Linked DNA regions of Tamandua tetradactyla. The protein of the gene in region 1 interacts with the protein of each later gene in a biochemical or structural test. Links are inferred from orthologs where the notes say so. Each region holds a gene or a part of one and is shown in the gene's direction. Other genes may lie near its edges.

Region 1 (16,153 bases):
GACTAAAATGTCTCCATCGAATCTTGCATTTAGGAAGTCCTTGGTGACTTTAGCAATAAGAGTTACTTCTGATAGAGAAGCAAAGAAAGAGACAACCTGAATGTAGGCATTCTTTTAAGAATCATGTATCTCCAAACATCTCTTTTTCCAAAACGGTTCCCTCTGAAAGAACTCCAGTAAGTGGATTAAGACCCACTTTGAATGGGCAGAGATACATCTCCATGGAAAGCACCTAATCAAAAGGGCCCACCCACACTTGGGTGGGTCACATCTCCATGGAAATAACTTAATAAAAAGATCCAACCCAACAATAGGTCTGCCCCTGCAAGATTGGATTACGATAAAGAATATGGCTTTTTGGGGGGGATACATTAACAGTTTCAAACCAGCCAGGTATGTTCAGCAATAAGGTCTCCTCTTTCTAAATAAGATGGCTGTGGCTAAGAGAAGTTCATAGTTTACCTATCCATTGTTCTTTTATTACCCATGGGTTACTGGTAGAGTCTCTTAGGAAATGACAGGATTTGATACCTTAAACCAACAAAATTATTTGAATGGTGGGGATTTTAGATATCCGTGTCACATCAGTTGTGAATATACATTTTAGGTAAAGGAACTTTCTGGAACAGCTCAAATTATACCATATACCCACTCTGCTTACTCAATAACTTAATGCTAACCTTTTTTAAAGTAGACACACATTTGGAAAAACAGCATCAACTGCTGCATGGTGAGAAAAGAGATTCTGAGACATAGTCATTTATGATTAGTAGCCAAAATATAAAATACTTCCCAACAAAATATAAATATTGTTAGTCAGAATCAGAGAGAGTTGACCAATTTTAATTGTAAAATTATTGAAACAATGATTATGAAAGAATAGTTTGAGTCTATAATAAAATAGCCTTCTAAAATTTATTTTTAAATTTCAGTTTGGGAAAAAGAGTCCATCCAAAATAATTATGTATGAACATAGTACTAACAAAGAGTATCAATTTTCTGGATCAGTGGATGGAAAGTTTAAACATGTATGTATAGTATGAATGTGTATTTGTATGTAGGTATAAATAGGTGAATTACAAAAGTCCTTGGGGAGATTGATTCCAATCAAAACAGGGAAGCTTTAACACGTATACCTTCCTTTCTACTCGCTTGTTCCCCTTTGATGGGGAGGGATTCATATATTCATATCGCTTTGTGCTCACTTTCAGCTGCCCAAGGTCTTCCTATGAAATCTTGATTCCTATAACACTCATATCTTTCTTATCCTGACTTTCCAATTCTGTCTAAGATTACTTGTCCTGTGTTTAATTCTCTCTCATTAGTAAAAGGCTGCCTGATTTGGAAAAATAGTTAATGCTAGGACAGAAGGTAGTCACAGAGATGCTACCAGAATGGCATACTGATGGATTTAGAATTTAAAAATTTTCCAGGAATAAGATTTATAAGCTTCCCAGCAACTGTTTAAGGGATCTTGTCATCTAATGAAAATTTCAAAAACTTTACATAAGATGTTTCACAGAGATTAGCCAGAAACAAAAGGACAAATACTGTATGGTCTCACTGATATGAGCTAACATTAGTGAATGAACTTGGAGAATTTCAGTTAAGAACAGAAACCATCCAGAGATAGAAATAGGGTAGATTTTGGATAATTGGAGCTGAAGGGATACAGATTGTGCAACAGGACTGATTGTAAAAATTCAGAAATGGATAGCATGATACTACCTAACTGTAATACAATAATGTTAGTACACTGAGTGAAGCTGAATGTGAGAATGATAGAGGGGAGAGGGCTGGGGGCACAAATGAAATCAGAAGGAAAAATAGACAATAAAGACTTATATAGTATAATCTAGGAATGCCTAGAATATACAATGATAGCGACTGAATGTACAAATTAAAAAATGTTTTTGCATGACGAAGAACAAAGGAATGTCAATATTGCAGGATGTTTAAAACAGATGGTAATTTATGTTTTAAAACTTTAACTTTTGTGGGAGACTAAGCAAAAAATGTTTATTTGGCTCAAAATTTATATTTTGACTAGTGCATTTCTTAATACAATTATGTGGACAATTTAATTGAACACCATAAGTACATAGAACCTTGAATAGGGTATGAGATTTTGTAGGCTTCTCCAGAGTGATGCTGTGATAAATTGCAGAGTGATTTGAACAGTGAATAAAAAAGTATTTCCAAAGTCCCCTTGGGGGAATGGCAAGAAAGGGGGAGAATTCAACTTCTCCATGTGGAGAATTCCTGATATTCTCACAAGCAGTGGGGAAACCAAAGCAAAGGCCGATCCCTCAATCTTGGAAACTTATCCCTGCAAAGGATGGGCTAGGCCTACTTAAAATTAGGCCTAAGAGTCACCCCCAGAGAACCTCTTTTGTTGCTCAGATGTGGCCCCTCTCTCTCTCAGCGAACATGACAAACAAACTCACTGCTCTCCCCCTCTCTATATGGGACTTGACTCCCAGGGGTGTAAATCTTCCTGGCAACATGGGACAGAAATCCTAGAATGAGCTGGGACTCAGCATGAAGGGATTAAGAAAGCCTTCTCAACCAAAAGGGGGAAGAGTAAAATGAGACAAAATAAAGTGTCAATGGCTGAGAGATTTCAGAGTCAAGAGATTATCCTGGAGGTTACTCTTACACATTAAATAGATATCACATTTTTATCCAAGAGGTAATGGAGAGACTGGAGGGAACTGCCTGAAAATGTAGAGCTGTGTTCCAGTAGCCATGTTTCTTGAAGATAATTGAATAATGATATAGCTTTCACAATGTGACTGTGTGATTGTGAAAACCTTGTGTCTGATGCTCCTTTTATCTACGGTATGGACAGATGAGTAAAACATATGGATTAAAAATAAATAAATAATGGGGGAACAAATGTTAAAATTTAGTAGATTGAAATACTAGTGATCAATGAAAGGGTGTTGTAAGGGGTATAGAAAAAATAGGGGAAACAAAGGTTAAAATATATTGGGTAGATGGAAATACTAGCAGTCAATGGGGGGGGTAAGGGGTATGGTTTGTAAGAGTTTTTTTCCTTTTTTCTTTTCTTTTTATTTCTTTTTCTGAATTGATGCAAATGTTCTAAGAAATCATCATGGTGATGAGTATACAACTATGTGATGATATTGTGAGTTATTGATTATATATCAAGAATGGAATGATCATATGGTAAAAGAATGTTTATGTTTGTATGTTTTTATGTTTTAAAAAAAGAAATGACTCACAGATACCTATTTAACATGGAAATTCAGATTGAAGAGAATGTTTTCACATGACTGGATGAAGTAGTTTTTCTTCAGGTGGAGTCCATGATCACCAATATCAGAATCATCCTGGACATTTCTTTCAAATGCAAATTCTTCTCTCCATCTCCTTATCTACTGAATCCTAATCTCAGAGATTGGTTCTTATGAACATTTGATGGGAGATGCACTAATCTGTCTGTTGGGTAAATTCAGCATTCTTGGGTTAACATCAGGCAACCTAGCAACAAGCTGGTTCTGCAGAGAGGCTGTAAAGACTCAGGTCGAAACCAGTGTTGATAAAGAAAACTCCCAAGATGACAGTGTCAAACAGCTTGTTTGTAAAACCAACAAGATTGTGGCCCCTATAGGAATATTGCTTTCCAAATTTGCCAGTGATCCCTGTTCCCTCCCAACTCCTCTATAGATATGTGAGGTGTCAGTGTGCCAGGATCCCTCTTCTGGAAAAGTACCCTGGTGCATCTAGTCATGCCATGCCCAAGCACAGCTATCCATGGTTTGGTTAACAGCAGGAGAATCCTGTGCACTCAGCTGGCCCAGGTCTATGAGTTTCTGTTTTGTGCCTGCACTGTGTGTTCTTGTGTTGTTTATTTAGCATATTCTCATATTGCTTAACAATTCCAATATTTGAAAACTACCAGAGCATGCATTATTTAATACATGCATCAATGATTTGGAAGAAATAAACACATCATCAAAATTTGCACCATAGATGATCTTATACTACTCTAGGTACTAAGGAGTTATATAAATGGGAATAAATTGCAGATGGATTTTTTTTTAGAATTTTGACCTAAAGAAATATCTTCTTTAAATTAGATGCTTCCTTAAGACATCACTATGGCTAAAACAATATTTTTGTAAGTATATAAAAGAGGTGTAAGAATGTATATTGATTCTATGCTCTCAACTCAATACAGTTTTGGCTCAACAGTTCCTGTGGCTATTGAACAGGATTTACTTTTTGCCAGTTAATGTTAGCATGACCAAATTGCAGAAACTCTTTTTAAGAAGTTTAATTAACTCCTTGATGACCTAAGGAGGCGAAAATTTTGTGATAGGGTCAACAAATTAAAAACTTTCTTTCATCTGGGATAAAACTATGTTCATCTTCATTTGTAATATTGTATTCTGAACATTACATCTGCGAGGAAAATCTAAAGTAGAGAATATCCAAAAGAGAAAGCAATAATTGGAATTGGGAACCAGTGAAGGAGAACATAATAATCAGGTTCAAACTCTTTAGAGCAGATGGAAAAAAAAGGCCAGAGAGGATAAAAGACCTAATTCTGTAAAATCATGAAAGAATGAAAACGATAGACACAAAATTGTTCACTAAATCCTAAAGCATAGAGTGAGGGAGCATCCCTAAAAGGTAGGTCAGTTTAGGCCAACTAGATAGAAGTATGACTTCACATAAAAAATAGAACTTGTATTACCCTAAGTGGTGATTTAATTGATTTTTTAAAAGTTAAGATAAACCAATGGCTGATAGAGTCCCTGTGAAGTACAGGAGTGGCAAGGACCTAATCTTTGAGGTTGAAATCCAGGACAACAGCCAAACTTCCCACCCTTTGTCTGTATAACTCTTAGAGATAAAATGCTGTGTCTGACAGGCCATACATCTGACCTAAGTTAGTAATCAGTGTGGCTTTAGGAGATAAAAAACAGATGGCTAGAAAAGAGTGATAAATTAGCAAAGGAACCACAGGGTACTCGTGCTTTAATTAAAACACCATTAGGATGTTTACAGTGTTATTACTTGTATCATATGTATGAAAGGTATTTTTTTCATAAAATATTAGCATGTGATTCACACCTTGTATTATTCTGGGATCAGCATGTCTCAGTGGACTACAAGGCCCTCATAATCTGTTCTCTACCTCCTCTGCTCCACTCTAAGATCATCTTCTGAAATGCTTCCATTACTCACTCTTTGCCAGCCATACTGAACCTCCTTACATTTCCTCTGGCATACTAACTTTTTCCTGCCTTGTCGCCTTTACCTGTTTTGTTCCCCCTGGCTGGGTACTCTTCTCTCACATGTACCCATGGCCAGTTCCCTCTCATCACCAAAGTCTTTGTAGAAATGTCACCTTCTCAGAGAGCCCCTCTCTGACTATTCCATCAAAATTAGCACCCTGTTGTCCCACTAGTACCTTACCCTGTTTTATTTTTCTTCTTATCTCTTAACAACACTTGACATAGCATATATGTACTTGTTTATGATCTGTCTCTTCCACCAGAATAGAAGTAAGCTTTGTGTTGAACAGGGACTTTATATCCCCAAAGTCTATAACAGAACCTGGAATAGAACATGCAGTTAATACACATTTGTTGCTGTATGAAGGATGAGTCAGGTTCCGTAAGTTTTGGACTACTGCTTATGCTGGATAGCACATGGATTGAAACTGTGATCAAATAAAGGCTATGCCTTCTAAACCGCTAGTGACTACTACTTCTTAGATTCTAGGTACCACATATTCTGTACATATATAAGTTGTTACAACACTTATTTGAAAGAGAGCCAGGATCTATGATTCCATTCAATAAGCAGTTTTTATCTAGGTAACCTTGTCCTTTAAAAAACTCTTATTCTACAAATTTTGAAAAGTCTAAAATGTGTTTCCTAAGTACATACTTGTTTCCTGCTTTTTGCGAATGACTTGTGTTTTAGCAAACTTTACTGAAATTTTAGGGAAGAAAAGGAGGTAACCCAACTTACTGGTGGGTATTGGGGCAGTGTTACATCAGAGCGACAAAAATAATTTTTTTTGCTATTTATGGAATTTATGGAATCCTATTTATTAAAATCCTTTTGCCACTCCACCTTCGGAAACTTTTTTCCATTGGCTGATTCACTTCTATGGCTTCTCTCTCTTTCGCATCACATTCTTGCCCTTCTTCTCTCTCTTAGATTGTCTTCAGAGAATTCCAAATTCCTCTCCCTCTGTCTTTCTTTGGTTCCTACTCTCAAACTTTGCTCTGGGCTTTTCTTTTCATTCCCAAAGTCATTAATGTGTTCAGTAGGAGAAAACTATCCTTTCATAGGATCCACTCTCAAAAGACAGTCGCAGTTTTAATATTTTTTTCCTCAGGTATGAAAAATTTACTAAGGCTTCCTGTTTATTTAATAATTTAAGGGATTACAATATATTTCTTATATCAATCAACTCTTTGGGAGAAACAGTGTATAACTTAGGTCTTTATTGAAAGACTAGTATACGTGAAGCATTATGGTAAAAGGGGCTTTCCATTATTAGTTACAAATGTAATGAACACCTATCTTCCATGCACTTAAGACATTTACACTTCACCTTCCAGATTACCCAGCCATGAGACACCTGGACAGTTCCTGTGACCTTAGTGACCATGGCTGACAGCTTCAAGCAAAGCAACTTTTGTTTACACATATTTGGAGCATCTAATCACCTTTCTCTACGAGAGTACAAAGATCGCCAAAAATTTCAGACATCTAGTTTTGTTTTCGTAGGACTGGGCCTTCCACGTTAAATGTGTACATATGATGTGTTGTATGGTTATGTCCGTTCTTTTTTGACCAGAGGCTTGGCTTCAGAGAATGAGTTAAACTTCAAGCCACAAATTCCACGGAATTAAAATCTTTCTTTTAGTTAGTCCTAAATTTCCAATCTGACAAGAAAAATAACGTAGTTATGAGACACAAAAGCAATACTGCTTCCTCCCCCTCAAGGCCCGGGACGCGAAGTAACACCACGGAGGGCCGGGGAACGCGGGGAGCGGCAGGAGACCTGGACCGGGCTAAGCGCACCGTGGAAGAGGCGGAGCCCCCTTCGCCCACCAAAATCTTTCTCCTAGCCTTTTCCTATCCTCGGCTCCGCTCCCACGCAGCCCTCCCAGGTCCGGCCGGGAGTTGGACAGTGGAGGTGGGAGGGGTTAAGGCGAAGCCCCTCCCCCACAGTGACGTCTAGAGACGCGACGCGACGCGACGCAGTGCAAATCGGGAAAAGGGGATGAACTGGGCTGGCTTCCGTCGGTATAGGGAAGGGCTAATTCTTCCTCGGGCTGGTGGGAAATGGGCCTTTGGCGAGGAGGCTGGTGTTAGTGAAGTACCCCCGGCGCCCCGGTGAGTATGGGACTGGGTCCTGACCTGTCGTCCCCGGGAAGTCGTCCTCAGTGAGCCCCCTTTCCTTCCGCCGGCTGCTGGTCACCCCGGAGGTAAGCCCTGTCCACCGAGAGGGGTAGCACAATCCCCAAACAAATAACCGACTATAGAAGCAAGGGCCCAGCCTTGAGTCTTTCCCGCCGTTCACTTAGCGTTGCCTAGCGAGTTTCCTGTGGACTCAGGTTTTCCTCTTTTAGAAGATGCCATGGTCATTCCCTCTGGACGCTCAGACTAGAGTTTGACCTCCTTCCGCTTGCCTCCTTGTTCTGATCTTCTGCTGTCAGTCTGCAGTCACAGGCCTATCAAATGCTCAGTGTTTCCCAATCCTTCCTCTGCCCCAGTCACACTTTATTTTAGTCAAGTTGCATGTATGAGTTTAAAGACTATTAAGTTCATCCAGTTAAAACTGTGACTTCTCCAGCTCCAGAGCGTTCTTTCCTAAACTGTGCCTTTTATCCTAGAGTTGTAGGGTAAGTTAATTTCATCTCCACACCACCTTGGAAATTATTAGAATCCTGAATTGCATTATGTGCATTTATCCATAAAGCTGCAGAGCACACTCCTGGATTCATTTATTGCCTCTAGTTCAGTGACCTTGAAGCAAGTCCCTTAATCACCAACAGAAAATTTACTACATTCACAGAGATGTTGCGGATCCTGAGGGAATTTGATATTTGTAAAGAGCTCTGAATGTTTCAGATGAAAGGAATACCTAAGGATATTACTCTTTTTGAATCTGCGTGCATCCTTAGTTTAGTGTGTATCTTGCTGCAGCCATTAAAAAGGTCAAGTGATATTTGTTAAGGAAGTGTTCCTGTTTTTGGCTTGCTCTGCGGCTTTGCTTTGTAAGCAAATTTTGCATTTCAACAGATTCTGTTTAAGGATCATTTTTTAATATCTCTTTCATGATGGATTTAGATAATTTTTCTGTCTTCACAGTTCTGGGCCAGTTTATCTGAAAGGTGATGTAGGTTGTGCTATGTCTTTACCTTGTGATCCAGCTATCTTGAAATGTGTATTCCTTTCTTGTGACACATTAGTTGCATTTTAAAAATTAAAATACTAAGGATCCTATAAGAGTAAAAAAAATGAAACTACTATTAATGAAATTGTGTCCCATAGGTATACATTTTATTTTTTGAGAAGACAGCGTATGAAAAAAATAAAACCATTTTAAAGATGATTTTAAATTTTAATTTTTTATATATTTTTTGTACTTTATTAATCATTGTGGGCATTTGTTTGTAAGTCTGAATATAATGGAACATAACCAAAGTGGCTTTTGTAGATTTAAAGAGTTGGGAAATAAAGCCAGTACATCAGATTTTTTTTAGACATTTTCACAAAGTATCTATGTTATATTTTATAATGGTATTTTATTTATTATAAATATATTTATTTTGAACTTTCTGCAAGAAAATTCACTTTTGTATAGGTAAAAGGAAGAAAAAAAGTGAGTACTTATAAGAGTAAATATCATTAAAGAAGCATTTTTTTCGTATCTTATTCATTGTCCCACTTACATAATGCTGTGTAACAAATCACCCCAAAACATAGTGTCTTGAAATTGCATTTTTCATTTCCCTCATGTTTCTTTAAGTTGGCTGGATTCAGCTGCATGGGTCTCACTTAAGTGAATCTCATACGTTTGTAATCAGGTCAGCAGCTAGGGTTGGAGTTATCTGAAATCTCAACTAGGCTCAGTATCTAGAATGACTTATTTATATGGATGGTAGTTGATATTAGCTCAGAGCTGGGTTGGGATGTCAACTAAGAGCCTCCATGTGGCCTCTTCATGGGGCTTGGGTCTTCTCATAGTATGGTGACTGGGTTCCAAGAACAAGTGATTGAAGAGACAGGAAGTGGGAGCTGCCAATCTCTTAAAGCCTGAACCTAGAAATTGGTATAGCATTGCTTCTAACATTTGCTCTTGGTCAGAGAGGTCAAAGAGGCCTCCCCACTCTGCGACAGTAGATCCCTGTCTCTTGAAGGGAACAATGTCAAAGAAATTGTGGCCGTCTTTAGCCTACCATAATTATGGTGAAAAATTGTATTGGACCAATGTTTGGATTTATATAGTAGGTGCAGAATATGGTACACTTCTGATTTATTTGAACATAATGCTTTTTATCTTCATGATATATTCAGAGCATTTTTCTGTATATATATTTTTCATCTGTACCTCTTCAGAAGCAGATGTACATGCATACATACATCCCATACCCCATACCCCTCCCTCTCATTGACCACTAGTATTTCAATCTACCCAATTTATTTTACCCCTTACTCCCCCTAATATTTACTTATTTATTTTATCCATATTTTTAAACTCATATGTCCATACCTTGGATAAAAGGAGCATCAGACACAAGGTTTTCACAGTCACACAGTCACATTGTAAAAGCTGTACAGTTAGACAATCTTCTTCAAGAATCAAGGCTACTGGAACACAGTTCAACAGGTTCAGGTACCTCCCTCTAGCCACTCCAATACACCATAAATTAGAAAGGGATATCTATGTAATACGTAAGAATAACCTCCAGGATAAACTCTGAAGTCTGTTTGAAATCCCTCAGCTACTGAAAGTTTATTTTGTCTCATTTCTCTCTTCTCCCTTTTGGTCAAGAAGGCTTTCTCATTCCCATGAAGCCAGGTCCTGGCTCATTCTGGGGAATCAGGTCCCACATTGCCAGGGAGATTTACACACACCCTTGGGAGTCATGTGCTATCCTATGTAGAGGTGGGGGAGAGCAGTGACTTCTGCCAAGTTGGCTTAGAGAGAATGGCCACATCTGAGCAACAAAAGAGCCTCTCTGGGGGTGAGATTATCAGTAGGCTTAGCCTCTGCTTTGCAGAAATAAGCATCATGGGGCAAGCCCCAAGATTGAGGGCTCAGCCTATTGAGTTGGTTGTCCCCATTGCTAACAAGAATATCAGGAATTCCCAAGATGGGGAAGTTCTCCAGTTCCAGTCCTCCAGCTGTTACTGATTTTCACCTTCATTCCATTATGATCAGAGAAAGCTGTTTGTATAATTTCAGTCTTTTAAAATTGATTAAGACCTCTTTTGTGCCTCAGCATGTAGTCTGTCCTGGAGAATGTTCAATGAGCACTTGAGAAGAATGCCTATCTTGCTGTTTTGGGGTGTGGTGTTCTATATTTGTCTGTTAGGTCTAGTTCATTTATGGTTTTATTTAGGTTTTCTGTTTCTTTATTGATCTTCTGTTTAGATGGTCTGTCTATTAAAGAAAGTGGTGTATTCAAGTCTTCCACTGTTATGATAGAAATGTCTATTACTCCCTTCAGATTTTCCAGTGTTGGCCTCATTTACTTTGGGTCACCTTGATTAAGTGCATAAATATTTATGATTGTTAATTCTTTTTGGTGAATTGCTCCTTTTGTTACTGTGTAGTATCCTTTGTTTCTTATAATGTTTTTGCATTTAAAGTCTATTTTGTCTGTTATTAATATAGCTACCACAGCTTTTTTTTTTTTTGGAGACTGCTTGCATGCAGTATCTTTTTCCATCCTTTCACTTCAAGTCTGTGTCTTTGTATATAAAAATGAGTTTCTTGTAAATAGCATATAGATTGATCATATATTTTTCTTATACATTCTGACAATCTATACCTTTTGATTGGGGAATTAATCCATTAACATTCAGTGTTATTGCTGTAAAAGCAGTCCTTTCTTCAACCATTTAACCTTTGGCTTTTATTTATCAGATCTCTTCCTGCCTCCTTGGTGGCTCATGAGAAGTCAGAGCTTAACCTTATGTGGCTTCCCTTGGATGTTGTGAATCACTTTTCTTTTGCTACTTCTAGGATTTTCTCATTGTCTTTGACATTTTACAGTCTGATTAGTATGGTCCTAGAGGGGGTCTATTTGAATTTCTCTGTTTGAAGTATTTTGGGCTTGTTCAGTTTGCATATTATGTCTTTTATGGGAATTGAGAAATTTTCAGCCATTATTTCCTCAGTCTTCCTGGCCTTTCCCCCTTCTCTTCTTTTCCTGGGATACGTATGATGTATATGTTTGTACATTTGTGTTGTCAGTCATTTCCCCAAGACCCTGTTGAAATTTTTCCATTTTTTCTCCATTTGCTCTTTTGTCTGATAGAAATCATTTGCTCTGTCTTCTCACTCACCAATCCTTTCTTCTGCTCTTCAAATCTGCTGTCATGTGTCTCTGGTATATTTTTAATTTCATCTACCTTGTCATTCATTTCCATAAGATCTGTTTTGCTATGCATTCTTTCAAATTCTTCTTTATGCTCTCCTGTCTTTTTAATAGCTTCATCTCCTCAGCCATCTTGTTTAAATTATTTAAGAGATTTGTTTGAACATCTCTGAATAGCTGTTCCAAAATCTGTTTCTCCTCCAACTTTTTAATTTGACTGTTTGGCTTGGCCATATCTTCTTTTTTCATAGTTTATCTTTTAATTTTTTGCTGGTGTCTGAGCATCTGATTATCTTGATACAATTATTTTGAAAGTTGGTTTCCTTATCTGGTCTACAATTTTTTTGTTGCTTGGTGTTTTAGTTTGCTAAAGCTGGCAGAATGCAATATTCCAGAAATGGATCAGCTTTTATAAAGAGAATATATTAAGTTACAGGTTTACAGTTCTGAGGCCATAAGAATGTACAAACTAAGACATCCAGAGAGAGATAACTTGACTTCAAAGAATGGCCGATGTCTGTCACATGGGAAGGCACATGATTGGCATTTGGTGGTCCTTGTTCCTGGTTCCATTGCTTCCAACTTCTAATTCCAATGACTTCCTCTCTGAGCAGCTGTGGGCCCTTACTAACTGCTCCTGAGCAAAACTCTGGGTTTTATCTGTTAGCTTAGCATTTCCCAAGGCTGGAGATTTCTTCTCTTCAGGTTTTGGCTATTTTTGTGAGTCCTTGCTTAGCACCCAGGCCTTTACTATCTTCATCTCCAAATGTCTGTATCTATGTTAGCTCTTTTAAGGATTCCAGTAAACTAATCAAGACCCACTTTGAATGGATAGGGTCACATCTCCATCTAATCAGAAGGTCACATCCACAATTGGGTATGTCACATCTTCATGGAAGCAATCCAATCAGAAGGTACCCCCCCCCCCTTCAGAATTGGATCAGGATTAAAAGAACATGGCTGTCTCCACAAAATATGACTAGGAGCAAAAGAACATGGCTTTTCTGGGGTACGCAATAATTTCAGATCAGCACTGTTGGGTTTGTGTTAAAGGGCTTATTTGGCCCTTGGTTCATTAGTATTTCACAGCCAAAGCAGGGCCAGGTTCCCATGCAAGGAGTGTGACCCAGTTCTAAAGGGCCTTAGGTAAAGGCTTAGGAAAGCAGCTTCCCAAGACCACACTTTCCCAGCCTTCTCTGCAGGTGCTGTTCTTTGGCAGCTTATTCCCCACAGCCATACAAATGCGAGTTATTTTTAGCCCTCATCCCCTTTATTTCTGAGGCAGGTGGAAGTAATGGACCATGATGCTACGAGTGCCTGTACAGAAAGTAACAAGGCTGTGGGACCCCACAGTCAAATTTGGCTGACCAACAAATAAATCAGAACTATGCTGCCTCCCCCTCTGTTTCCAGGTGGGTGGACTTATCTGACTGTCCCAGTCCATAGTAGACAGTCCTGTGAGACTGGGCTGACCAGTAGCTCTTGGCCTTGCAGGTAGGGAATGTGCACTGGGAGCCTCAGTGGTATTGAGTCACTTACTGCAATTTCTCATGACTCCACAGGCTCCCAGTGCTCCTGCCTTGAAAGGGTCAAGTTTTCAGATCCTAGAGGGTCAGCTTCACTGGATAACAATTAGATTAGGTCTGTGCTGTGGCCTCCTCTTTTCCTGGGGAGAAGGCCTCCTTATCTCTCTCAGCCTGCAGCAGCCAGCTGGGCAAGAACCATGCCACCCTGAAGCTGCTGGCCTTGGAAGTGGACGATGGGCACCAGGAGCCATGGCTGAATTCAGTCCCTCACTGCGGTTTCTTTTTTGTGGTTTCTTCATTTCTTCAACTTGCTCTTCATTATATGTTGCAGTGGTCCTCCGTCTCTCAAGCCTGAAACCTGTTGCTTTGGGCAGTTTGCCTGTTCTCTAGATGTTTTTGGTGGAGGAATGAGTTCTGCCTCTTCTTATTCCACCATTTTTCCAGAAGTTGCTCTGAATAGATTTTTACAGCACTGCTCTCAGGCAGTGTTTCTGGTCATAAAATACCAGAAGCTTTAGCAGTGATTAATTCCTCAGAGGGTTGAGCCTTTTTTAACATTTAGGATTATTTCAAAACAGATTATTTCATCAATACTTACTTGACTGTGGCATTTTAACTAGAATGAGAGTACAGTGGATTACATGATGCTTACCTAGTCAGAGGATGTAACGAGTACTGTTGATGCCTACTGGGGAGAGATGGTGGGTGGCCAACAAAGAAGAACTTTGCTTTCTTTTCAGCTTTGCCAAGTGCCTCGACAGTGGCAGGTGTAAAGTCCTAGTGAAAATATCAGGACTCCCCTTCTCACCACCCTGTAAGTCCTCAACCGCCACCCCACCCCGCATTCCCAGAGTGCACTGCACACTGCGTCCCATCCCACCTCCATGCCTGGGCTGTGTGTCAAACTTACTCTCCGTGTTCCTTTCCCCTCAACCTCCCTCTCCTACTGTACTAAAGCAACCTGAAGCTGGCCAGTGGGCACAGCACTAACACAGGCACAGGCACGGGCATGATCACAGGCAGCTGCCTGGAAGAAGAGGTCCAGATGCTTTTTTTTCAGTGGTCTCCCTATGGACGTTGAATCCATAGATCTCTACCTGCTCTCCCGCTCGTTGAAGGGATTTGAAGGATCCCTGATCTAGCTCATGTCAAGACAGCTTCTTGCTTGCAATCTTTGACAGTTGGGCAGGAGTAGAAGTGGCCAAGAATGTATAGAGGAGAAGGGGCCAAGAATGTGTTGAATAGTATTCACTTCAGTCCTGAGAACCTGCAGACTTTGAGGTTGGCGTTTGCTAAAGCCAGGAGCAAGATGGTTAAGAGCAAGCTCATGGCAACACCAAATCCCACCAGTGTTCACTCCATGCTAGAAGCCCACTTCATCATACAGGACCCTTATGACCAGGTGGTAGCTGCTTTGATTCCATCATCCCCATAGACTCGGACTTCCTACCCTCTGTATACCACAGAGCTGGCCCCAGGCATCTCATATGCTACATTCACCTACCCAGATGCCACTGCTGCCGCCACTGCTATCCTTCCTCAGACACCTCCCAGCAAGGATGGAAATACCATCAGTTCTGTTAGTTTTTCAGTCTTGTCATCACAGCTTGAAACCTGTGTCACACAGAGGGGCACTTCCAGGAGTCAGTTTTGGGAATTAAGAGCTCCCATTGACCCCAGGCACCCTTTGGATAACTGCTGCTTCCTTCCAAAGTCTGTGAATTTAAGCCTGACTTGGTAGACTGCTTCCTGTTTCCTTTCTGTCTTCTTCCTCAGCTCTGCCCTCCCCATAGCCTTTCCCTAAGGCCCGCTGGGAAAATTCATGGGCCTTCTTGTCTGGGACACCCAGACCCAGCTCAGAGGCCTCCTGTCCAAAGTTGCTTCTGTAATTCCACCTGAAGAAAATTAGGCATTTAACTTTGTATGTTTTCTGGCATGAATTAAGATGCAAACATATATATGTGCTTGTATAGTTTGTTCTCACATTGGTGTTACTGTAGCAACAGTTGCTGGGCATAAATGGTTTCTCATTCCTGGTCCTTCACTTTTCATTACTTCCCTGTGTAACCACCCAGCCCCAGCAAGGACACCTCTCTCAGCTCTGAGCCTGCTCCGCCCTGACGGCCCAGTGCCTCTACCCCGCGCCCCCCCCCGCCCCCACTTCCAAGCTGAATAGCAAGAGCAAAAACCCAGCAAATACAGTCTGTTAATTTTTCCATTTCAAATCAGGGTCCTCTGCTTCCTTCTCCTCAGATGGGCCAACAACTCTAATGAAATTAATTCTTTCTCTGCCCACCTGGCATACCTCTCCATGGTTCACCCACTTCTACCACTGGTCCTCATTCTTTCCAAACTTCCAAAGCCAACCGTAAAGCAAAAGTATTTTGTACCCTGTGTAACAATATTTATGCATCATAAATGATTTTTCACGTGTGCAATTAAAGAGACCTTGTTTGCTCTATCATATAAGTTTAGTGTTTAGTTTGAGGCATGGAGAATAAAAGGATTTCTGTTCTTTAGCATTGAGCCTTTCTGTCAGATGTTAGTTTAAATAAATGAAGGAAAAATTGTGCAATTTTGTTTTGTGAACATATCAGTGTTTTGCCTTTAGCTGCAGCTATGACTGCCTTGCTGTTTTCTCACTGGGGAAGCTAGATGGCTACTGTTATTGCTGGTCCTGTGAGAGTGTAAAATTGTTTAATATATGAAATGCAAAATAAAAAATATATATGTTGGGCCTAGTTTGAATGACCACACACTTCAGTCTTCACTTTTTTGCTTTTTAGTGTCCTCTCTATGGTTCATGTCTTCTAATTCCTGTTCCTTCTTTTTGAAAGGATCAGAAGATGTCGGAGAAAAAGAGTACATGCACATTGCTCTCTGTGTTCTAGTCTAGAGCGTAAAACTAGAGTTCTTAATTATTACCAGGTTTACACATTTTAAGAAACCTTGTTTTTTTGTACATAGAAGATCTTTTAATTTCCTTGCTTATTTTTTTTACTTACAATCTTTTAAAGC
Region 2 (16,058 bases), on another chromosome or scaffold:
TGGATATCCAGTTCTCTAGGCACCATTTATTGAAGAGACTGTTCTGTCCCAGGTGAGTTGGCTTGACTGCCTTATCAAAGATCAAATGCCCATAGATGAGAGGGTCTATATTTGAGCACTCTATTCGATCCCATTGGTCGATATATCTATCTTTATGCCAATATCATGCTGTTTTGACCACTGTGGCTTCATAATATGCCTTAAAGTCCGGCATCGCTAGACCTCCAGCTTCGTTTTTTTTCCTCAAGATGTTTTTAGCAATTCGGGGCAACCTGCCCTTCCAGATAAATTTGCTTATTGGTATTTCTAATTCTGAAAAATAAGTTGTTGGGATTTTGATTGGTATTGCATTGCATCTGTAGATGAGTTTAGGTAGGATTGACATCTTAATTATATCTAGTCTTCCAATCCATGAACACGGTATGCCCCTCCATCTATTTAGGTCTTCTGTGATTTCTTTTAGCAGTTTTTTGTAGTTTTCTTTATATAGGTTTTTTGTCTCTTTGGTTAAATTTATTCCTAGGTATTTTATTCTTTTAGTTGCGATTGTAAATGGGATTCATTTCTTGATTTCCACCTCAGCTTGTTCATTACTAGTGTATAGAAAAGCTACAGATTTTTGAATGCTGATCTTGTAGACTGCTACTTTGCTGTACTCATTTATTAGCTCTAGTAATTTTGTTGTGGATTTTTCTGGGTTTTCTACGTATAGTATCATGTCGTCTGCAAAGAGTGATAGTTTTACTTCTTCCTTTCCAATTTCGATGCCTTGTATTTCTTTTTTTTTTTTTAATTTTTTTATTAATCAAAAAAAAAAGAAAAGAAATTAACACAACATTTAGAAATCATTCCATTCTACAAATGCACTCAGTAAATCTTAGTATCATCACATAGATGTATGATCATCATTTCTTAGTACATTTGCATCGATTTAGGAAAAGAACTAGCAAAACAGCAGAAAAAGATATAGAATGTTAATATAGAGAAGAGAATTAAAATAATAATACTAATAATATATATATATAAAGGAAAAAGAAAAAACAAAAACAAAAGATACAAACATACAAACAAACAAACAAAAAACCGTATTTCAGGTGCAGCTTCATTCAGTGTTCCAACCTAGTTACATTACACTTAGGTATTATTGTGCTGTCCATTTTTGAGTTTTTGTATCTAGTCCTGTTGCACAGTCTGTATCCCTTCAGCTCCAATTACCCATTATCTTACCCTGTTTCTAACTCCTGCTGGTCTCTGTTACCAATGATATATTCCAAGCTGATTCTCCAATGTCGGTTCACATCAGTGGGACCTTACAGTATTTGTCCTTTAGTTTTGGGCTAGACTCACTCAGCATAATGTTCTCTAGGTCCATCCATGTTATTACATGCTTCATAAGTTTAGTCTGTCTTAAAGCTGCATAATATTCCATCATAGGTATACGCCACAGTTTGTTTAGCCACTCGTCTGTTGATGAACATTTTGGCTGTTTCCATCTCTTTGCAATTGTAGATAATGCTGCTATAAACACTGGTGTGCAAATGCCCGTCTGTGTCTTTGCCCTTAAGTCCCTTGAGTAGATACCTAGCAGTGGTATTGCTGGGTCGTAATCCATTCTGCCATTCTATGTCTTTTGATTGGGAAATTCAGTCCATTAACTTTTAGTATTATTACTGTTTGGATAATATTTTCCTCTACCATTTTGGCTTTTGTATTATATATATCATATCTGATTTTCCTTCTTTCTACACTTTACTCCATACCTCTCTCTTCTGTCTTTTCGTATCTGACTCTAGTGCTCCCTTTAGTATTTCTTGCAGAGCTGGTCTCTTGGTCACAAATTCTCTCAGTGACTTTTTGTCTATAAATGTTTTAATTTCTCCTTCATTTTTGAAGGACAATTTTGCTGGATATAGGAGTCTTGGTTGGCAGTTTTTCTCTTTTAGTAATATAAATATATCATCCCACTGTCTTCTAGCTTCCATGGTTTCTGCTGAGAAATCTACACATAGTCTTATTGGGTTTCCCTTGTATGTGACAAATTGTTTTTCTCTTGCTGCTTTCAAGATCCTCTCTTTCTCTTTGACCTCTGACATTCTAACTAGTAAGTGTCTTGGAGAACGCCTGTTTGGGTCTATTCTCTTTGGCGTGCGCTGCACTTCTTGGATCTGCAAATTTAGGTCTTTCATAAGAGTTGGGAAATTTTCAGTGATAATTTCTTCCATTAGTTTTTCTCCTCCTTTTCCCTTCTCTTCTCCTTCTGGGACACCCACAACACGTATATTTGTGCGCTTCATATTGTCATTCAGTTCCCTGATCCCCTGCTCAAGTTTTTCCATTCTTTTCCCTATAGTTTCTGTTTCTTTTTGGAATTCAGATGTTCCATCCTCCAGTTCACTAATTGTAGCTTCTGTCTCTTTAGATCTACCATTGTAGGTATCCATTGTTTTTTCCATTTTTTCTTCTTTGTCCTTCACTCCCATAAGTTCTGTGATTTGTTTTTTCAGATTTTCTATTTCTTCTTTTTGTTCAGCCCATGTCTTCTTCATGTCCTCCCTCAATTCATTGATTTGCTTTTTGAAGAGTTTTTCCATTTCTGTTCGTATATTCAGCATTAGTTGTCTCAGCTCCTGTATCTCATTTGAACTATTGGTTTGTTCCTTTGACTGGGCCATATCTTCAATTTTCCGAGCGTCATCCATTATTTTCTGCTGGTGTCTGGGCATTTGATCAGATTTCCCTGGGTGTGGGACCCAGCTGGTTGAAAGCTTTTTCTGTGAAATCTCTGGGCTCTGTTTTTCTTTTCCTGCCCAGTAGGTGGCGCTTGTGGCGCTCGTCTGTCTGCACGGCAGTCGGCCCGGGAAACCGCGCGTGGAGGCGGGGGTCGCTGGCCACCGCGGCTTGGGGGAGTGCCGGTCCTAATTGCCCAGCTGGCCCGAAACACCAAGCGTGACGGGAGGGCCCCGCTATCCAACGTTCCCAGTCAGACCGGGGAGCCACGTGCGTGGAGGGGACCGCAGTCGCCAGCCGCCCCGGCAGGGAAAACGCGCACCCCTTGGGTATCTCACCGCAGCAGATTCTCCCTGCCCGTTCAGCTGTTCCAGAATGGGGTACGCTGTCTTTTTGGTCTCTGTCGTGACTCCGGGAGCTGTTTCGTATTGTTTCTGTTTCTTTAGTTGCTTTTCTGGAGGAGGAACTAAGACCCGCGCGTCTTACTAAGCCGCCATCTTCTCCGGAAGTCCTGTATTTCTTTTTCTTGCCTAATTGCTCTGGCTAGAACTTCCAACACAATGTTGAATAATAGTGGTAATAGTGGACATCCTTGTCTTGTTCCTGATCTTAGGGGGAAAGTTTTCAATTTTTCCCCATTGAGGATGATATTAGCTGTGGGTTTTTCATATATTCCCTCTATCATTTTAAGGAAATTCCCTTGTATTCCTATCTTTTGAAGTGTTTTCAGCAGGAAAGATTGTCGAATCTTGTCAAATGCCTTCTCTGCATCAATTGAGATGATCATGTGATTTTTCTGCTTTGATTTGTTGATATGGTGTATTACATTAATTGATTTTCTTATGTTGAACCATCCTTGCATACCTGGGATGAATCCTACTTGGTCGTGATGTATAATTCTTTTAATGTGTTGTTGGCTACAATTTGCTAGAATTTTATTGAGGATTTTTGCATCTGTATTCATTAGAGAGATTGGTCTGTAGTTTTCTTTTTTTGTAATATCTTTGCCTGGTTTTGGTATGAGGGTGATGTTGGCTTCATAGAATGAATTAGGTAGTTTTCCCTCCACTTCGATTATGTTGAAGAGTTTGAGGAGAGTAGGTACTAATTCTTTCTGGAATGTTTGATAGAATTCACATGTGAAGCCGTCTGGTCCTGGACTTTTCTTTTTAGGGAGCTTTTGAATAACTAATTCAATCTCTTTACTTGTGATTGGTTTGTTGAGGTCATCTATTTCTTCTTGAGTCAAAGTTGGTTGTTCATGTCTTTCCAGGAACCTGTCCATTTCCTCTAAATTGTTGTATTTATTAGCGTAAAGTTGTTCATAGTATCCTGTTATTACCTCCTTTATTTCTGTGAGATCAGTAGTTATGTCTCCTCTTCCATTTCTAATCTTATTTATTTGCATCCTCTCTCTTCTTCTTTTTGTCACTCTTGCTAAGGGCCCATCAATTTTGTTGATTTTCTCATAGAACCAACTTCTGGTCTTATTGATTTTCTCTATTGTTTTCATGTTTTCAATTTCATTTATTTCTGCTCTAATCTTTGTTATTTCTTTCCTTTTGCTTGCTTTGGGATTAGTTTGCTGTTCTTTCTCCAGTTCTTCCAAGTGGACAGTTAATTCCTGCATTTTTGCCTTTTCTTCTTTTCTGATAAAGGCATTCAGGGCAATAAATTTCCCTCTTAGCACTGCCTTTGCTGCGTCCCATAAGTTTTGATATGTTGTGTCTTCATTTTCATTTGCCTCTAGGTATTTACTAATTTCTCTTGCAATTTCTTCTTTGACCCACTCGTTGTTTAAGAGTGTGTTGTTGAGCCTCCATGTATTTATGAATTTTCTGGCACTCCGCCTATTATTGATTTCCAACTTCATTCCTTTATGATCCGAGAAAGTGTTGTGTATGATTTCAATCTTTTTAAATTTGTTAAGACTTGCTTTATGACCCAGCATATGGTCTATCTTTGAGAATGATCCATGAGCACTTGAAAAAAAGGTGTATCCTGCTGTTGTGGGATGTAATGTCCTATAAATGTCTGTTAAGTCAAGCTCATTTATAGTAATATTCAGATTCTCTATTTCTTTATTGATCCTCTGTCTAGATGTGCTGTCCATTGATGAGAGTGGTGAATTGAAGTCTCCAACTATTATGGTATATGTGTCTATTTCCCTTTTCAGTGTTTGCAGTGTATTCCTCACATATTTTGGGGCATTCTGGTTCGGTGCGTAAATATTTATGATTGTTATGTCTTCTTGCTTGATTGTTCCTTTTAATAGTATATAGTGTCCTTCTTTGTCTCTTTTAACTGTTTTACATTTGAAGTCTAATTTGTTGGATATTAGTATAGCCACTCCTGCTCTTTTCTGGTTGTTATTTGCATGAAATATCTTTTCCCAACCTTTCACTTTCAACCTATATTTATCTTTGGGTCTAAGATGTGTTTCCTGTAGACAGCATATAGAAGGATCCTGTCTTTTAATCCATGTCTTTTGATTGGGGAATTCAGTCCATTAACATTTAGAGTTATTACTGTTTGGATAATATTTTCCTCTACCATTTTGCCTTTTGTATTATATATATCATATCTGACTTTCCTTCTTTCTACACTTTTCTCCATGCCTCTCTCTTCTGTCTTTTTGTATCTGACTCTAGTGCTTCCTTTAGTATTTCTTGCAGAGCTCGTCTCTTGGTCACAAATTCTCTTAGTGACTTTTTGTCTGAGAATGTTTTAATTTCTCCCTCATTTTTGAAGGACAATTTTGCTGGATATAGGAGTCTTGGCTGGCAGTTTTTCTCTTTTAGTAACTTAAATATATCATCCCACTGTCTTCTAGCTTCCATGGTTTCTGCTGAGAAATCTACACATAGTCTTATTGGGTTTCCCTTGTATGTGATGGATTGCTTCTCTCTCGCTGCTTTCAAGATCCTCTCTTTCTCTTTGACCTCTGACATTCTAACTAGTAAGTGTCTTGGGGAACGCCTATTTGTGTCTAATCTCTTTGGGGTGCGCTGCACTTCTTGGATCTGTAATTTTAGGTCTTTCATAAGAGTTGGGAAATTTTCAGTGATAATTTCTTCCATTAGTTTTTCTCCTCCTTTTCCCTTCTCTTCTCCTTCTGGGACACCCACTACACGTATATTTGTACGGTTCACATTGTCTTTGAATTCCCTGATACCTTGTTCAAATTTTTCCATTCTTTTCCCTATAGTTTCTGTTTCTTTTTGGAATTCAGATGTTTCATCCTCCAAATCACTAATTCTATCTTCTGTCTCTTTAAATCTGTCATTGTAGGTATCCATTGTTTTTTCCATCTTTTCTACTTTATGTTTCACTTCCATAAGTTTTGTGATTTGTTTTTTCAGTTTTTCTATTTCTTCTTTATGTTCAGCCCATGTCTTCTTCATGTCCTCCCTCAATTTATTGATTTCGTTTTTGAAGAGGTTTTCCATTTCTGTTCGTATATTCAGCATTAGTTGTTTCAGCTCCTGTATCTCATTTGAACTATTGGTTTGTTTGTTTGACTGGGCCATATGTTCAATTTTCTGAGCGTGATCCGTTATCTTCTGCTGGCGTCTGGGCATTTAGTCAGATTTCCCTGGGTGTTCGACCCCACAGGTTGAAAGATTTTTCTGTGCAATCTCTGGGTTCTGTTTTTCTTATCCTGCCCAGTAGGTGGCGCTCGTGGCACACGTTTGTCTACGGGTTACAGCAGTGAAAGTTGCTGTGGGTCCTTTAACTCTGGAAAATTCTCGCCGTAGGGGAGGTTCGGCAGCCGAAGCGTCTTGGAAGAGTGCCAGCCGGCCTGGGGTTCCGAATGCGGGGAGGGTCGCCGGCCACCGCAGCACGGGAGAGCGTCTGGCCGAATTAGCTAGTCGGCCCGGGGCGCCAAGCGTGGCGGGAGGGCGCCAGCTGTCGCAGCCCGGGAGAGTGCACTGTTCCCAGCCGGACGGGGGAGTCACGTGTTTGGAAGGGATCCCCCGGTCACTGTTCACAGCAGCCTGGGGATTTCCGACCCAACTCTCTGTTGGTCCGGGGGGCCTCGTGTGGTGGGGGCACCAGCCGCCGCGGCCTAAGGGGACCGCCTGTCCAATTCTACCAGCTGGCCTGGGAAGGTGGAAGGGAGGGACTCCGGTCGCTTGCCGTCCCACCCAGGAAAGCCCGTGCCCCTTGGTGATCTCACCGGAGCTGGTTCTCCCAGATAGTCAGCCGTTCCAGGATGGGGTACGCTGTCCCTTTGATCTCCCTCGTGGCTCCGGGAGCTGCTCTGTATTATCTCCACTCCCCCAGTAGCTGTTCTGGAGGAGGAAAGGTGAGGGTGGCAAAGCTGTCGAGGCTGGTGGTGGAGGAGCTGGTGAAGGTGGAAGAGGGGAGAGGAGGGCAGGCGGGTCTGCTGCTGCGGGGCGTGGGCACCACGCGGCGGGCCGGCGGACAAAAGAGGGGAGAGGAGGGCGGGCGGGTCCGCTGCTGCCGGGCGTGGGCGCCGCGCGGTCCTTTTACTTTTCTGTAGCTCATTTTTTAAAAAACCTGGTTAACAATTAAATTCTCTGTTCAATTTAGTGTTGTTTCTGTCTTCTGGCTGGATCCTGACTAATAAAGACCCTAATCATGTTGATATTCCAAAGAAGAAACATCAATGTGACTATATCTCAATAAAATTGCAAAAGAAAAAGAACAGATACAGTGAGGAATCTCTGGCAAGCCCCAGTGGTACAGAGAAGGGCAAAAAACCCGTAAGGATCAGATGAATTTACTAATGTGGACTTAGTGTCCACAGCTTGCTCTGAAAGACAACAATGAGAGGAAATCCTCAGACGTACATTTGGTCATCAGCTTGGTATAGGTATGTGGGGAAGGTGGCCCGAGGGAAGGAAATCATCAATTTGAAGTGTAAACCCAAATTAATAAAGAAAACTTTAAAGAGGCTGGATTTATCTGAAATTGGTAAGATTATTTTGCATTTGTCATCAGGGAGACAGAGACTCAAAAAAGATGGTATTATAGAAAGATGAAAATGCATCTCTTTGCACACCAGAATTTGTGGGTTAAAACCAACATATTAGATTCATTCATTAGATGAAGTAACTTCATTAGATGAAGTAACAATGAACAATATTTGTTTTTTCTTGTTTTTAACATAGGGTCTAGCTCCTAGTGACTATTCAAAATTTGTCGTTTGAATGAACTCATCAAGAACTGAGTACATACATCTAAAGGTAAACACCTATAGATTTTTGGGTGTACTTGCTATTATGGAGCAGGAGGAGCTAAAGAAGTCACTTTAAAATGTGAATGCTTTCCAAAGGCTAATCCTCAACCTCTGCTCTTAGCTCAATACAACTCTCTGACAAAATCTCCTCTCAGGGTTTTCAAGTGCTGCAATAACCTCCTAAATTGTTCCGTCTGGGTCTGTTTCTTTATATCCATCATGAACACTGATGTCAAATTAATATTCCAGAAACTGTTTTATTATACTACTCTGCTTCTCAAAATCCTTAATGTGCTAAAATTGAAATTTCTTAGTTTGCTCTTTAAGGCTCTTCTCTGTTTCCTCCTACCTTTATCTACCCGTTTTCTTTTCCAATACTGAGCCTTAACTCTAGACAAACCCACCCAGAAAGGCTCCAAATATCTTGTACCTCCTAGGTTCAGTGGCTTTTGAAAACCAGCCCCTTCATCTGCAGATATTCCCTTCTCATTTCTACACCTATCTTTAAAATAAAAAAATGCCGCTATCTTTCTGAATTATTACATGTGTAAGGCTTCTCTCTTCTATAATACCATCTCTATACCTAGAGGTTGTAAAACGATTTTATTTGTTCCACTGTTTAAAATGTTGAAATAGTTCTACTAGAAGTGCTAATATTATGGGCCCATATTTCAACAAACGGCTGAAGCTTACTAACAGTTGCAGTCTTTAGGTATAAGCGCTGTTCAGTTTGATAGTACAAAAGCATTCATTGAGCACCTATTGTCACTTTTAAACGCTATGGATACAGCATAAATAAAACTGATCATGGTGTTTATATTTTAACCAGGAAAGACAGACAAATAAATGATATATTACGAAGAGTTAAATACCATGGGAAAAAATTAAACAGGGTTGAGAGGAAAGGACAATGTGTGTTTGGGAAAGATTCTTGCACTTACACATCCATTTTTAAACTGGCTGGCTGCTATGGGAATCTGAGTTTGTGACTCCTACTGTATATCAGGATCTTCCCTATGCTGTCATGTATGAATAACTGCTCCTATAAAACCGTCAGCAATTCTTGAAGGCAGGGACTGGGCTTCATTCGTTCTTGTATTCCAAGAACCGAGCAATGTTTTCATGGCGAGAACACTATGGAAGGCGAAATTAGGACGTCTTACAGATATAGTTTCTTGTACTACTGTTTTCCGGGTGTCTTTTTTTTTTTTTCTACTGCCGGGGTCAAGTGCAAAAGAGGATACAACACCGAAAGCGCCCGGGAGCTGAGCCAGGCCATTCCCAGACTGTCAAAGCCACCTGTGTGTCGGCGGCTCCGTTTCCAAGGCAACAACACTGTGACAGAAACGTAGTTGCGGGCCCACGACTGCAAGGGACTGGTTCAGGAACTAACCTGACACAGAAATAGGAACGCGGCGTCTAAGCCGGTTGCCCTGAGCAGAAAACCCAGGATTGCCCGGACTCTGCCGAATTGCCACCGATTCAATAGCTTCCGGGCCTCCGGCGTTGCCCGGTTCTAGGCGCGACAACTTCCGGCGCCGAAGGTCCCCGCTCCGTGGCTCGGCGGGGTCCTAACGATGGAAAGGTGGCCAGGGCGGCCGCCTGAACCATGAGGGAAGCTGGGAACACGGCTGCCACGTTGTCCCGGCGCGCGGCGGCGAAAGGGCCACCGGGAGGATGTCCGCGGCTGGAAAGACTTTGACCCGGGAGGCTACCTCGCGGCTGGCCGCGGGGCGGAGCGTGGACCGGGAGTCTGCCCGTCAGGCGGGAGCCGGGCAGGTGCGGTGGCGCAAATGCTAGGACTGTGGCCCGAGCTCAGCGGGTAGGAAGCCGCGGCCCGGGGTCACCAAGCAGGGATTAGTTGCGGAGCCTCAGCCAGACTCCAGCGACTAGGGCTCGGGTGCTGGCGACATGCCTCTTTTCACCGCTAACCCTTTCGAGCAGGACGTTGGTGAGTGGCGCCGGGCTGTCTGTCCAACTAGAAAGTGGGAGGCGGCGGGTTTAAGGATTAGGAAGTCTAGCTGAAGGAGAGAAGGGGCGGTGCCGCCGCCTGGGCGCCCGTGTTTTTTAGGGGGTATCCTGCGCGCGTCGCCAGCGGTTTAGAGGATGTCTCCTACTTTTCTGAGGTCGAGGACCCAAAGACTATCGTTCGCCACGCCAAGCTCCGGAATCGGAGGAGCGTGGGGGCTCGCTGGAGGCTGGACTAATTAAGCTATTGCGGAGTTGGTGATAGAAACTTCCTGCTCTCCCTCTCCTGGCTATTGAGCCCCGCCGCCCTCCTTTTAGGGCGATGATGCTGTAGTGGGGACCCTACTGTCTAGGGCAACCCTAGAGACCTTGATTCACCCCGTTATGTAGGGAAAATTCATCTAACGTTGCTTATATACAAATACATCCAGTTCCTGATGGTGCAGCCTCAGGATTTGTTTACAGTTGGAGGTGTTACTCTTGAATCTCAAATGGCGCAGGTGTTACGAGATGTTTTCTGTCTCAAGAGTATGAAAAGGAAAGTGCCAACCCGAGGATCTCAAAACAGTTCAAAACAGCTAATATTTACTTGTTGGGTCGTAAGAGTATTTGCCTCTCAGTGACAGTGGAATGAGAAAAGGAAGGATGAAACGTAGAGACTTATTTTGAGCTTTGGAATAACAGTAAAACAAACTAAGAAAACATTTCGTAGCAATAGTTAACTCTAGGTAGAGTTTTAGGCCTTGGTGGAATAAAAAGCATAGCTGAAAATTGCCTTAGTCTCGCAGGCAGCAGCAAGCCACCTGTTTCATAGTTACATTTTTCTAATTATGAGAAGACTCTAGAAAGTTCCTTCTTTTGATATATTATGTGAAGCTATAGGTGTATTCAAAAGTCATATATGTGAGAGTCAAATAAGACGAATGTTATAAGCCTCTTCTATTCCTAGAGAGCTGAAATATTTATATCTTGACCCTCAGATAGTATTCAGGTGGGCATGTTCCTTATTTCATTAAACTTTTTTCTTGATAATGGAACACAGTGCCTGACATAAATCTGGGAAACAGCATGTTGAAGTGCACTGTTTCTGCTTTTGGAATACCTAATGGTTTCTTTGTTGCAACTGTTTTACCTTTGTGAGAATTGTACTTTTTGTTTTTTCCTTAGTTTTTTTTTGAGTTGTACTTTTCAATGAGAAAGACTTTTATTTTGTTCCAATGAAATAAAATAGAAAGGGTGAAATAGAATAAGTAAAATGATCTTAAAATGTAAAAATGGTGGAATTATTTCTTCAAGGGAAATCCTTCCCAGAAGCCCAATGTTTTTGTGATTGAAAACTTCCCTGGTCTAAGTAGGCTGAGGAACTCTGCCTGTTTGCTCTCTAAATCTTACCTTCTGTGGTTCCTGAGGCCCTCCACATGGTTTAGTGGAATATAGTTTAGTAAAAGAGGCACTGTTGTTGGGACCAAAAACTCTGCGGTATATAAATTTTTTTCACAGGAGTGCCATCAGCAGAAGCCTCAAGTGCTTAATTGTTAGCTCAAGTATGACTGAATGAAAGAACATGTTTGATTGAGGCCCACCTGTAACTTTTAGTCAAGTGCAGGGAGTTAATAACAAAAGTGGAATGATATACTAAAGATTTCAGATTAGCCTTTAAACCTGTATCATAACAGAAGAATTCTATTTTACATTTTTCAGATCTTAAAAGCGCCTTTTAATTTGAAATAATACAAAGCAAGTCATTATTTATGACTTGAGATGTCTACAGGAGTGTTCCCTCACAGTCTTTGTTATTGTCTTTTTCACCTGCTCTGTTTCTTCTTGCTGTACATTTGTTCACTGCTCATTCAACAAACATGCACCAAAAGATACTCTGTCAAGCATCGTGTTAAGTTCTGGGGACAGGAAGTTGAATAAATAGATTGAGAGTTTCTGCCCTCAAAGAACTTAATCTAATAGAGGACACATATGAAAAGAACATTAAAAAACCCATGCCTAGCTGGTCTCTTGGTCACAAATTCTCTCAGTGATTTTTTGTCTGAAAATGTTTTAATTTCTCCCTCATTTTTGAAGGACAATTTTTCTGGATATAGAATTCTTGGTTGGCATTAAGCAGATAGCACCTTGTTCAAGATGTAGCGGAGAGGCTGGAGGGAACTGCCTGAAAATGTAGAGCTGTGTTCCAGTAGCCATGTTTCTTGATGATGATTGAACAATGATATAGCTTTCACAGTGAGACTCTGTGAATGTGAAAACCTTGTGTCTGATGCTCCTTTTAGCTACTATATCAACAGAAGAGTAGAACATATGGAATAAAAATAAATAATAGGGGGAACAAATGTTAAAATAAATTTAGTTTGAAATGCTAGTGGTAAATGAAAGCGAGGGCTAAGGAGTATGGTATGTATAATCTTTTTTTTTCTCTTATTTTATTTCTTTTTCTGTTGTCTTTTTATTTCTTTTTCTAAATCGATGCAAATGTTCTAAGAAATGATGAATATGCAACTAGGTAATGATATTAAGAATTACTGATTGTATATGTAGAATAGATATCTTAATGTTTTGCATGTTAATTTTTTTAATTAATAAAAAAGTTAAAAAAAACCATGCCTATAATATGTATATGTAGTAAATGTAGTAAATACAGTGCTATTCAATAATATGTAATATGTAGTAAATATAGTGCTATCAGAAGTCCTCCTTGCAGACAAGACAGTGACTTTCAGTTAAGAGCTTTCCCTGTAAAGATGTTTGCCACTATCCCTGCCCCCTCCTTTCCTGATAGCATTTCCACTGGTAGGAAGCAGCCACGAGTTACTGTATGTAAAAGATGGTCCTTTTTAAATTAAGGACTTTAAAACTGAAACACATTCCTGTCATAGATGTGGAGTCTCACCTGGAGATTGAGCAGCCTTTTCTGACATCATTTGTGGGGGAAGAAACCCTTTCCTTAGGCCCTGATCTGAAGCTTATGTCTTGATCTGAGCTGTGATAGGTCAGAATGGTTAGGAAGGCCTTCAGAAGTTGATGGTGTGTAACTTTTCAGATGGAAACCAGCTAAGGGTTAGGAAGAAAGAAGTTCTGGCAAGTTCCTACTTTTTCTACAATCCTTGAAGGCGAAGTTAAGTAAGCTAAGAAGGGTATCGTTAGAGTGCTTTTATGTTTGATGATTTTCTTCAAATCTGGATTTATTTTTTGCTTTGTTTAATAAATTTTTTTTTGTAGCTTTGCCAAGGGGGAAAAGAAGAAAACATTCCTCCACTTCTGCCAAACCCTACTGAGGCCTGAGTCCTAAAGGGGGAATAGAGATCCTGAGGCAAAGCCTGGTTGAGGGCAGCCAGTGTTGGAGAATTATAAGAAGAAAGTGAAACACAGAGCCTCAGTAGGAAGGTTTAGTGGTTGGTGTTTAAAGAGATGTCATTTCCTTATATTCTGTACCAAATTTTTCCAACCTCACCACATTGGTTCCTGAGTTGTAACTTGTCTGTTCTACTCCCTGACTTCTTTCTTGTTTGCATGCTTCCGGTTACTCAAGCCTGATGATCTTTCTTGCTAATTTCTGTCACTGTGCCATTTACTTTCCATTACTACCCTTCTGATATTTTTTCCGCCAGAGCCTTGATATCTCTTTCATTCTAGATATATTTGCTTTTGTCCTAGAAACTGAGCTCAAATTCTACCTCTGTAAAACTCCTCTAACTCAGTGACTTGAAGTGTGAACTTTTATCTTAAAAAGAAACTTTTCTCAGTGAAATTTGAATATTTATATTCTTGTATCTTTTGCTTGTGTATGTGTGTGTGTGTAGAACTTGATATGGAGGCAAGTTGGGATCAGTACAGTGGCTTTCAAACTTTTCAGTCATGGAATCCTTTTCTCAAATGAAATTTTATAAGAAAATAAAAATACGTATTGGTAGCATTTCAATAATAAACATTTATACATTCAGATTTCTATATTTGCTTATAAAGTCAATTCTTGAACACAATTAGGTTGTTAAAATCTTTGCAAAAACTTACAGGTTATGGATCAAAATCAGTCTTAACAGACTTTTTTCCTATATCTTATTTTGCTTGTATGCTACCAATAATCCTAATACCTTTAGCTAGTCACAAATTTTAATGAATGTATTTTGTGATTTTTGAAAGTATGAAGTATTTTTAATACATATATATATTTTTTGGCATTGGCAGACTCTGGGAATCAAACTCGGGTCTCGGGTGTTGCAAGCAGGAATTCTGCCACTGAGCCACCATGGCACCGCCCAAAAGTATGAAATGTTTTTGAGCTGAAATTACAGTATGTAACATAAATTCCTGCTCCTACCAGTCAATTCTGTGAGGTGCTAATATTTTGTCACAGTTTTTTTTTTTTTAATTTAAGAAAGCATTCATGATATATTTGAATTATCTGGTATTTTTAACAGCAGCCTGGTACTATTCTTTTCCTTCTCACCTCAGAGTTAACCATTCTCCAAATAGATATAAATTCGATTTTATAATATACTACAAATACAAATGTATTGTTGCATTGCTTTATATTTTTTAAACTTAAAAAGGTCTTTTGTGTACCATTCTGCAGCTTTTGCATTCAGCATTTTTTGAGTTATGTTGATATTTGTACTCTCGCTAATTGCTTTTAACTTCTATGTGTTCCACTTTGTGAATATACCACATTTTATTTGTCCATTTTCCTGTTGATGGACATGAAGTTCCCAGTTTTTTGCAATTACAAACAGCACTACGGTGAACGTTCTTATTGATATTTTCTTGTGCACATGAGCAATAGTTTCCCTAGGGGTTGTATTTTTTTAAAATATTTTTATTGTCAAATCTTCACACACATAGAGTCCATACATGATGTACAATCAGTGGCTCACAATATCATCACATAGTTGTGCATTCATCACCATGATCATGTTTTAGAACATTTGCATCACTCCAGAAAAGAAATAAAAAGAGAAACTTATACATCCCATATCCCTCACCCCTTCTTCTTATTGACCACTAGTTTTTCCATCCATCCACTTTATTTTACCCCATATCCCACCTATTATTTATTTATTTTTATCCATATGTTTTTACTCTCTGTTCATACCCTGGACAAAAGGAGCATCAGGCACAAGGTTTTCACAGTCACAGTCACATTGCAAAATTATACCTTTATACAATCATCTTCAAGAATCAAGAGTACTGAAATACAGTTCAACGGTTTCAGGTACTCCCCTTTAGCCACTCCAATACACCATAAACTGAAAAGGAGTATATATATAATGCATAAGAATAACCTCCAGGATAAGGACTCTGAAATCTTTCAGCCACTGAAACTTTATTTTGTCTCATTTCTCTCCTCCCCCTTTTGGTCAAGAAGGCTTTCTCAACCCCTTGATGCTGGGTCCTGGCTCATCCCTGGAGTTCTGTCCCACGTTGCTAGGGAGATTTACACCCCTGGAGATTAATACCATGTAGGTGGAGAGGGCAATGAGATCATCTGAGTTGGCTTAGAGAGAGAGGCCACAACTGAGCAACGAAAGAGTTTCTTTGGGGGTGATTCTTAGGCGTAGTCTGCCCTTTGCAGGAATAAATTTGATGGGGTGAACCCCAAGATCTAGGGCTTGGCTTGTTGATTCAGTTTTTCCCCACTGCTTGCGAGATATATGAAAATTTTTCCAAATGGAGAATATTTCTTCCTTTCTCCCCAGTCCCCCAGGGGGACTTTGCAAATACTTCTTTATTCACTGCTAGGACTGTATTTTGAAGGGTAATTCTGTAGAAGAGTAGGTGCATTTTTTTTCCTTCCTTCTTTATGATTGCCTTAACTATTTTTGTTCTTTGTTCTTTCATGTAAATTTTATTAATAGATTGGTTAAAAATCATTATCAAAGGAATTTCTTTATCTTTTTGGCTCTTTTAGGAGTTAAGATAAAAGAACATTTTTTGTTTCACATCAACTTATGAAATCCATAATTAAATATAGATTTTTATTCATTGATATATATTTAATTCTAAGGTTAATTAGATTATGGTTTGGGAGTAAGGTAAATAATAAATAAGGTAAGAGAGTGTGCTGGTTTGAAAGGATTATGTCCGCTAGAAAAGCCATGTTTTAATCAAATCCCATTTCATAAAGGTAGAGTAATCCCTATTCAATACTGTA

What was found.
Region 2: the proteins of USP8 (region 1) and STAM2 form a complex in vitro, tested with the Homo sapiens proteins (3 studies listed by BioGRID, with this or other methods). The link is inferred for Tamandua tetradactyla from reciprocal best matches to the Homo sapiens genes USP8 and STAM2.

The regions. Positions count from the first base shown.
Region 1 is NC_135340.1:64,911,435-64,927,587, forward strand, and holds the start of USP8 (ubiquitin carboxyl-terminal hydrolase 8), read left to right. Parts: upstream 1-7,261; 5' UTR 7,262-7,484; intron 7,485-16,153. UniProt on the Homo sapiens protein: Hydrolase that can remove conjugated ubiquitin from proteins and therefore plays an important regulatory role at the level of protein turnover by preventing degradation. Converts both 'Lys-48' an 'Lys-63'-linked ubiquitin chains.
Region 2 is NC_135329.1:122,445,762-122,461,819, reverse strand, and holds the start of STAM2 (signal transducing adapter molecule 2), read left to right. Parts: upstream 1-9,531; 5' UTR 9,532-9,844; coding exon 9,845-9,884; intron 9,885-16,058.